Oryzias latipes: one gene and its partner. The protein of the gene in region 1 interacts with the protein of each later gene in a biochemical or structural test. Links are inferred from orthologs where the notes say so. Each region holds a gene or a part of one and is shown in the gene's direction. Other genes may lie near its edges.

Region 1 (4,141 bases):
AATACTGCAAAAAAAAAGTATGAGCAGGGATCATTTCACCGAACTGATTTCACTTAACTAAGTTACTACTCAACAGATCGATAAGTTGGTTTCTTTACAAGTGGAAGAGAAAGGAAGTCCCAACAAAGTGACAGTAAAAGTGATCCAATAACTCATATAAACTATAGAGCTCACCTGTGTTGTGCCAACAAGTATCTGCAGGTCGTAATTTGAATTTCTGCTCTGTCTGTCTGGGTAAATCCTCAAACGTTCTCCAGTGGCTTACTTACTTTGAATCCGACTATAAATCCAGATTTGAGCCGGAGATTTCGCGAAGACTTCCACGTTCGTCAAGAGAAACGGCGGTTTCTCAGACACGGTGGACTTTTGTCGTTTTTTCTCTCCCGGCACTCTGTGCTTCGTTCGGTCCAAGGAGGAACCTGGTGGAGAGAAGAGGAAGCGGAACCTCGCACAAACATGAGGATTCGGGACCTAGCGGCACCCGTAGCGCTCACATTTAATCAAAATTAAAAATGTAAATACTTTTCCCTGAATTTAGCTAAATGCAATGCATATGAAACTCGCGCAGAGAAAGATATAATCAATATAATTCCAAACAACATCGGTGAAAGAACGATTACGAAGAACTAAAGTGTATCTTCAAACAGATATGCACTGCGCATGTGTGTTGACCTCAACGGAACCAACAAGTTGGATTCTTTAGATTTTCAAAACAAAATATCCAACATGAATAATTGAGGGTCGTTGTTTTTTATCATTAAGAGCTCAAAAATACACCTAAAAAACACACAATAATAGCTCACAGTATATATAATCTGAATTATAATTTCATAAAATGTTGAATTTGTTGTCTTTATGTTGCACAAGCTTTACATTTTTGTGCAAATATTTCTATATCTACCATATCAAATCATGATAAATCTCTCTTTGTGTATGAAAAATATAACTATGTTATAACTATGAACTATGAAATATAACTGATGAAGTACACTGATGAAGTATACCTTCAGGAGCCCGGTGTACTGTTTTTATAAAATAAATTAAATAGTGATAATAATGTAATGCAGATACAATCTTCATTTTTGATAATTATGGAAAAAAACAAAAATAAAACCATACTAAAAATGACATTGTAATGCAAAGACAGGATAAATGACGACTGCTGCCAGTGCATCCACATAAAAGATTGATAACATACTGCACTTACCAAAACTTTTATTATCAACTTCAGAATTAAATTCTTATATTATACAAAGTTCTACATCAAGCAGCTATAACAAACAAATAAAAAAATAAAAATAACACCAAAAAGCATGTCATTGGGTTTTATTTTGAAAGTTAACAACGGAAGGATTATTCTAGGCGCAGATGTGTTTCATTTGAAAGTGCTGTGAACATTGTGTCGCAGTTGATAGCAGGATACTTGCAGGGAAACCGTACAAAAACTATCAACACTGAAGGAAGATCGAAAGTAAGGCCTCGTTATTATATGCTGATATTTATTACATTCTGTGTTCTTCCGTTAGCACGAGAACAAACGGCGCGTGCTAGCTTAGTAACACTTACCTACTTTACTTTCCATAAGAATGGCTGTGTTTCGTTTTCTCGAAAACTGTAGTTGAAACGAAAATTAAACTACAAAGTAGTATGAAGCTTCTATACATCTCACCTCCAACATGAGAGCTAGCAGAAAGTTAATTTAAGTTGTGCACCGCTGCCTGCAACTGTTAGTTTCCACAGAACCATCATTTTTTTTAAATAAAAAAAAACTTTATTAACAAATATTGCACATACAGAATATCACACATTACAATCCATACTAGTATGTGCAAATGCCAAAAGTTTCACATTTGCCAGGAAAATTATCAAAAATGTCAAAAAAGCCATTATAATAGCAAGATAAAACAGATTAAAAAATAAAATAGGTAAAGGATTCTGCTAAAGTCTCAAATGTGACCATGTTTCAACTGTTCTAGAAGCTTTTTGGTTAGTGCAGGATTCAATACTATTTACATACAGAATAATTTATTTCTGAAAAATATAAAATAAATACTGCCTTATTTTGTTACAGAACTCTTCATCTTTGCCGTCTTTTTTTGTCTGCAGGTATGCTTTCCCACAGGTGGAGGTCTGGATGGGGCAGGTTCGTTGACGTGGACCTCTTCACAGACAGCCATGAGACTTTGTCCCAGGCCATCAGAGCTGCAGCGTCCGAAGAGCCGGCGGATGCTGACGGCAGCGTGCTGTTCGGCCACCTGAGGGGTTCTGTGGTGGGCCTCAGATATTACACAGGCGTGGTAAGGGTCAGACTGTCTCTTCCACACACACACATAAAAAATACTCCTACATTTCAGAGGGTTTCTTCTCTGGACAGGTGAACCAGGGTGAGATGGTGGGCTTGGTGCGAGAACCTCATAACCCATACGACTGCAATGCAGTGATGGTTGCAAACGTTTATGGCAACCAGGTGGGACACATCAAGAGGGAACTGGCTGCAGCCATGGCCCATGTCATGGACAACAACCTGGCTAAAGTGGAGGGGTGAGTGTCATGGTGCGGTCACTGTGTCGCTTAGGTTTTCTCCTCATACGTTCAGAGCTTTCCATAAAATTTGGAAAAGTTTTTAAAGACCCACTCTGATGAAAGTTGTGTGTTGGGGAGTTTTTTAACATGTCCTTTTGGTATTTTTTTTGATGATGGAGGACATCAATAAAGAAAATTAGGCTTAAATTAGGCATTTCTCAATATTAAATAGAAAAAATATGAAAAGGTGCCATTTGAAGAAGCTTGTAGCTGTGATGTGGAACCTATTTACTGCATTCTGATGCATCCACCTGCAGAGTAACAGATCCATGTACGTCTTTGTTTTCCTCATCCGAGCTGACGTCTCCCTCCAAACTGTACGACTGTATCCCCTTTTTGTCGCACTGGTAATGGTTGGGGGTGTTGGGAGACATAAGGTAGCAGGAGAGAGTGTAAACAGTGGGATGATGGGAAATGAGGGTGGGCTTACTCCACGCCAATGGTTCCACCGACAACTCGTAGGGGAATTTCTGATAAACAAAGTTTTTTTGAATTTGGCTAAAAACAGCATAATCATAATTAAAAGACCACTAGAAACCCTTTGAAAGCAGATCAAAATGGGTCTTTAAAGGTTGTAACAACAGGAATTGATGCCTTTTCTGGTTATTTGCCAGTTTTTTCTGTCTCGGCATAACTTTGCCGTAAAATGGATAAACAGAATTGCAAATCTCGTTTTATTCTAATTTGTAAATGTCTCATTAGTAGAACATTATAAAATCATGATTTTGTTTTGTTTTTCAATAATTCATTCTTAAAGCAAGAAGAGTTAAATTTTAGTTTTTTTTTTAAATTTTAAGATTTGATGTTGTTGTTTTTTTTTTTACCGTATTCTTTCTCCTTCTGTTTTTTTCTTATCATGTATACGTTATTACATTTTCTTTTGATGTACTTTTATCCAATAATTGGAGGAAAAAAAGTCACAATACTGCAATTAACGTCAGAATTTTCTTTGCCCTTTTTTTTTCTTTCTCTATGGCCCTAATCCTTTTCTGTAATTTTAGACCAAATAAGAAATTGTGAAATTGAAAATATAAAAGTATATTGCTTTTCAGTTCTGAAAGACATCCTATAACATTAGGGTTCTTGTTGAACACCAAACGTTAGTTGTGATTGTTCATTTATTTAATGTATATTAGGTTTTTTGTCGTTTTGTTTTTAAATTGACTTTTAGATGAAAACAGAACATAAATGAGTTGATATGAGCGCCGCTGCCTGTGTGGTTGTCAGGGTCGTACCTTACGGAAAAAACAACTCGTTCACCATGCCGGTCATTTTGTCCTTTTGGGGGAAAGAAGAGAACAAAAATGCAGTCCTGGAAAACATGGAACGGCGAGGATTCAAACTGAACTCAGACGGAAACAAATTAGCAGGTATGCCTGAGTCTTTCAGGAACGTCTGTGGATGCTCCAGACACGTCTGGTTTTACTATTATTTGCTTCCTTTCAGGTCAGAAAACCAACAGCATTTCAGGCGCTCGTGCTTTTTCATCCAAAAAAGGAGTGACTGTCCCACTAACTGCAGAGGAGGTAACTGGATTTAACGACATGAAATGTTTGTT
Region 2 (4,043 bases), on another chromosome or scaffold:
CTGCCACAGACATTTATTTTGTGCAGCAGCTCGGTAATATGCGAGACGATCTTCAAAACGTGCTTTTATTAATGTTATGAATGTTATGAAGCGCCTGTTCGCTTATCTTTTTATTTAATCCGTGTGGTCAGTGCTTTTTTTGTCGAAGAACGGAGCTGGAAGAAGCCAGTGTTAGGAGAGGCTAACACGGGCTAACAACATTAGCCTTGATGGACACAAAAGCCAGGACCATACGGGAAACGCTGCAATCTGCATCTTGGCTGCACGTAAATGTGTGGGAATAACATCAGCCTTTATTTAGTCGGGACACAACTGGAAACACAAAAAAAAAAGCGGGGCTAGAGTGGAGTGGCGCTTTTCACAGGGCGTCCGCAGAGCAGCTGGTCGGTCCCCTATGAGCTCCTAAGCTTTCTCTCAGCAAAACACCATCTATGCATGACGTAAACCAGAGCAGTAGTGACACACGATCGGAATGACCGTTTACATGATCAACGATCGAATAAACGATCGGCCTAACCCACCTATCTCGATCGAAGAGAAATTTTGATCCGAACGAGTCTGATTGGGGCACACTATTCCGAACGGCGCGTTTACATGACGCATTTTCCTTCCGATCAGGCGTTCTTTCCGATTACTTTTGCCCATGTAAACGCAGCTATAGACAAGTGACCTTTTTTTCCGTCTGCTCCTCATTCACACCGATTTGAATAAAGAAACACTCAGAAATGCAATTTTAAGCTTAGTTTTCTCTAAATGTCCCTCACCATGAGAAAAAATGGCACAAGAACACGTTAAAAACACCAAAAACAGGATTTTAATCGGAATGGGTCTTTAAGGTAACGGGGGTTGGGGGATCTGTTGATTATTTCCCCAGCATACTTTAAGAATGATACTTGGTTGAAAAAAAAGGTTAATTTTTATAAATGGTGTGTAAAACTTGTGTTTTTGATAAAATTAAACTTCATAAATGAAATTAACCCTTAGCACTTTAACATTGGGAGTTGGGTCATCTGGACCCACTAGACAGTGCACTAAACCTTTTTTTCTTTTTTCGATCCTCACTGGTGTCCATGGATTACATGAAATCTTTCCACCTTTATCCACCTTTGTCATGGTAGGGAGAACACGTCAATGTAAGGGTGGGGTCATCTAAGATAGCACAAGGGTTTAATAAAATACTGATCAATGCGACTCTTTTTTATGTCGAGACCTGAAACCGGACGGCCCTGAACGCACCGCGGAAGTTCCGCTGTGACGTCAATGTCGATCTTTAGAGCGGGACTGCAGAGTAGAAACAAACGCCTTTAGCTAATTTCAACATAAACAGACTCGACAAATGAACGTTAGTTCTGAAGTATGGCCCATCACATCGAAGCGGATCTACCAGCAAGTCTTGCATGTTTGAAAGTAAGATATCGCTTCTGTTGTGGTGCTTAAAATAAACCGGGTTTGTTAGATGCTGACTAGCTGCAAGAACAAGCTAGAGGCATTGACTTGCCGTTGGATAAACGAAGTTTATACAACACTGGTTCAAAAACCCACTCATTCACTGTCATTTTAGCAGCAGATTCAAGGAAAAATAGACTTTTCGGTGCTTGATAGTAGTTAGTAAGGTCAACTGTGGTTCTAATGCAGTAACGCCAACAACAATTCATATTACGCAAACACAGAGGGCTTATTTATTTGTGTACGTATATTGTTTTACAAAAGTTTGTACACTGTAATCCAAATTTTTAAACCCGCTTGATCCTGCCCGGGATGTTGGAGATTGGCGCTTGAGGTGAGGATGGAGCGAACTTGAAGAAGAGGGTTGTCATCCAGTTTTTGAGTCTGCTTGTGCTTCTCTCCAGCCAAAACCCAGCAGGAGCCTTAAAACATCAGCCCACCTTTTGTTAGTATTTGTATTTATTAGGGCTGTAATGATTTATTTGAACGATTCAATTCATATCATAATTTGTGGTTGCTGATCTGATCCATAGTTGTTATTGGTTCATTTTGAACGATTCACTGACCTAATAGATCCAGAACTAAACTTCAACCAGTCAGTGTGACTCAGAGACAAATACCTGGTACTGAGTTTTATTTAATTTTGAAACAGTTTTAGGACAGCATAGGTTGATTCCATTAGGAACTCGTCTCAGACAGATCCATCTGTTTGGATTGTAGAATTATAGATCAATAAGGTGGATTAATCGTTACAACCCTATAGTATTTCTGTTTTTGTAACCATTACGGTTTGAGTAAACTAACGACAGGCCAGGTGTTGTGTGGAATCATGGTGTTAAAAAAAGAAGAATTTCTGTTTTTTGACTGCAGCAAATACGTTTTTTAAAATAAAAGTACATCGGCCAAGTCAGATCATCTTCCTGCAACCTAGTTGCTTGAATTGAAAATGTAAATAAGGCAAGCCAAAGATATTTTCTGTTGATACGACTCATTTTCTCTTAATTTACGGCAGTTACCCTCATAACTGAGTGAATGCAGATGTTTAGAATCCAGTATAAAAATATAAGGTTGTTGAGCTTTTGCAGATAAACATCATTAGCACTTTCCTTCAGAACAGCAACTATTGTTGCATTGTTACTTAAGGATATAAAAAAATCTTACCAAAGAATAAAATGAATGGTTATAAAATATCCCTTAATTATTTTAACTATTATAATTTGTGTATTAGACATCAGTTTGAACTTTTTGGTTAATACAGTACAAGTAAGATACAACTAGGCAAGGAAAAATGCTATTATATGAAAAGGAGGGTTACACAGTCTGTTGAGATATAAATTATTCAGGAAAGACCTAAAAAAGCTCATGCAAAAAACAATTTGTTGGTATTTTAAAATTGTGGCATTTAGTATGAGTTTGTAAAGATTATTGTTGTGTATGCAATAATTTTAATACTCTTAAAAGCTCGGAAAGGCAGCCTGAATTTATGAATAAGCTAGGAAAAAATGGGATTGTTATTTGAAAATATACTGATATTTTTCCAGAAGGATGGTCATTTTTATCTTAGAGGTTCCCGCCCATAATTTATCCACATATAGTAGTATATCTCATTACATATCCTACATAAAAGCCTGTTTTTCTTTTTAATCTAGAATGAAATCCAGTTTTCATTGCCACTTAAAAATTGGACACAAAGTCACAGAGGCTTCAGGGATATTTCAGGCCTGCTGCTGTTAAATGTACCTCAGATCACAATCATTTTTTAAGAAAACCTTCCAGGAAAACTTGCTTTGGAATTTTGAATTGGTTTTCCTGAATAACGAGAGATATTGGCTCTTTAAAACATAAGGAAAATAACTATAACTGCACATGTTTTCACTGATTTTACAGTCTCGAGTTAGGGGTTGGTAGTTCAACCACAACTGCTGAATATGTTTTGAATCCGATTATTGAGGACTTTTGGGATGTCTCTGAAGGATTGACTGAATTCACTGACAGAGCAAATGAAGTGAAATTTCTTTACAGAACATCCACATTATATAGGAAGTATTAGCCAACCATTTTAACTTAAAAGACTGAGAACTTACCTCAAAGACTGTCTGCAAGCAAAGCAGTCCTGCAACACGGACTCAGCCAAACCTCATATTTACTGTTTTAGAGTGTACTCTTTCATGTTTTACTATGGCTTTGAGTTACCTGCCTGGGGACTGATGATTAAAAAAAACTCTAGTACTTCATGTTGATCAAACAACTCACTGACAAATATAGGATTTGTTCAAACCAAGTCTTTGAAAAGCCTCCTTCTGGTCATTTATACTAACTTCTAAATTGCAGCGAGTGTGGAGAGGAGCTACAAGGTTACTAGAAAGGTTTACAAATGGAGCATCTTTGAAAGTTCAGACTCTATGGTGCTGGTTAATACTTTGCCTTATTTTGTGATCAAACGTTGGATGTTCCCTTTCTCTAAGCTCTTAATGGATTGGACATTTCCATCACTAAGTAGTGGGACAGACTTCCTCCTAAGTATATCGTTTCAATCTGAGCATTGAAACATTTTAAAACATGATAAAATGATCTGCAGGCACAGAATTTGTGATACA

What was found.
Region 2: the proteins of hltf (region 1) and rad18 form a complex in vitro, tested with the Homo sapiens proteins (2 studies listed by BioGRID). The link is inferred for Oryzias latipes from reciprocal best matches to the Homo sapiens genes HLTF and RAD18.

What each region holds. Positions count from the first base shown.
Region 1 is NC_019880.2:5,878,504-5,882,644, reverse strand, and holds the start of hltf (helicase-like transcription factor), read left to right. Parts: upstream 1-1,341; 5' UTR 1,342-1,471; intron 1,472-2,106; 5' UTR 2,107-2,108; coding exon 2,109-2,297; intron 2,298-2,374; coding exon 2,375-2,541; intron 2,542-3,810; coding exon 3,811-3,953; intron 3,954-4,029; coding exon 4,030-4,109; intron 4,110-4,141. UniProt on the Homo sapiens protein: Has both helicase and E3 ubiquitin ligase activities. Possesses intrinsic ATP-dependent nucleosome-remodeling activity; This activity may be required for transcriptional activation or repression of specific target promoters.
Region 2 is NC_019863.2:2,756,184-2,760,226, forward strand, and holds the start of rad18 (E3 ubiquitin-protein ligase RAD18), read left to right. Parts: upstream 1-1,243; 5' UTR 1,244-1,356; coding exon 1,357-1,407; intron 1,408-4,043. UniProt on the Homo sapiens protein: E3 ubiquitin-protein ligase involved in postreplication repair of UV-damaged DNA. Postreplication repair functions in gap-filling of a daughter strand on replication of damaged DNA.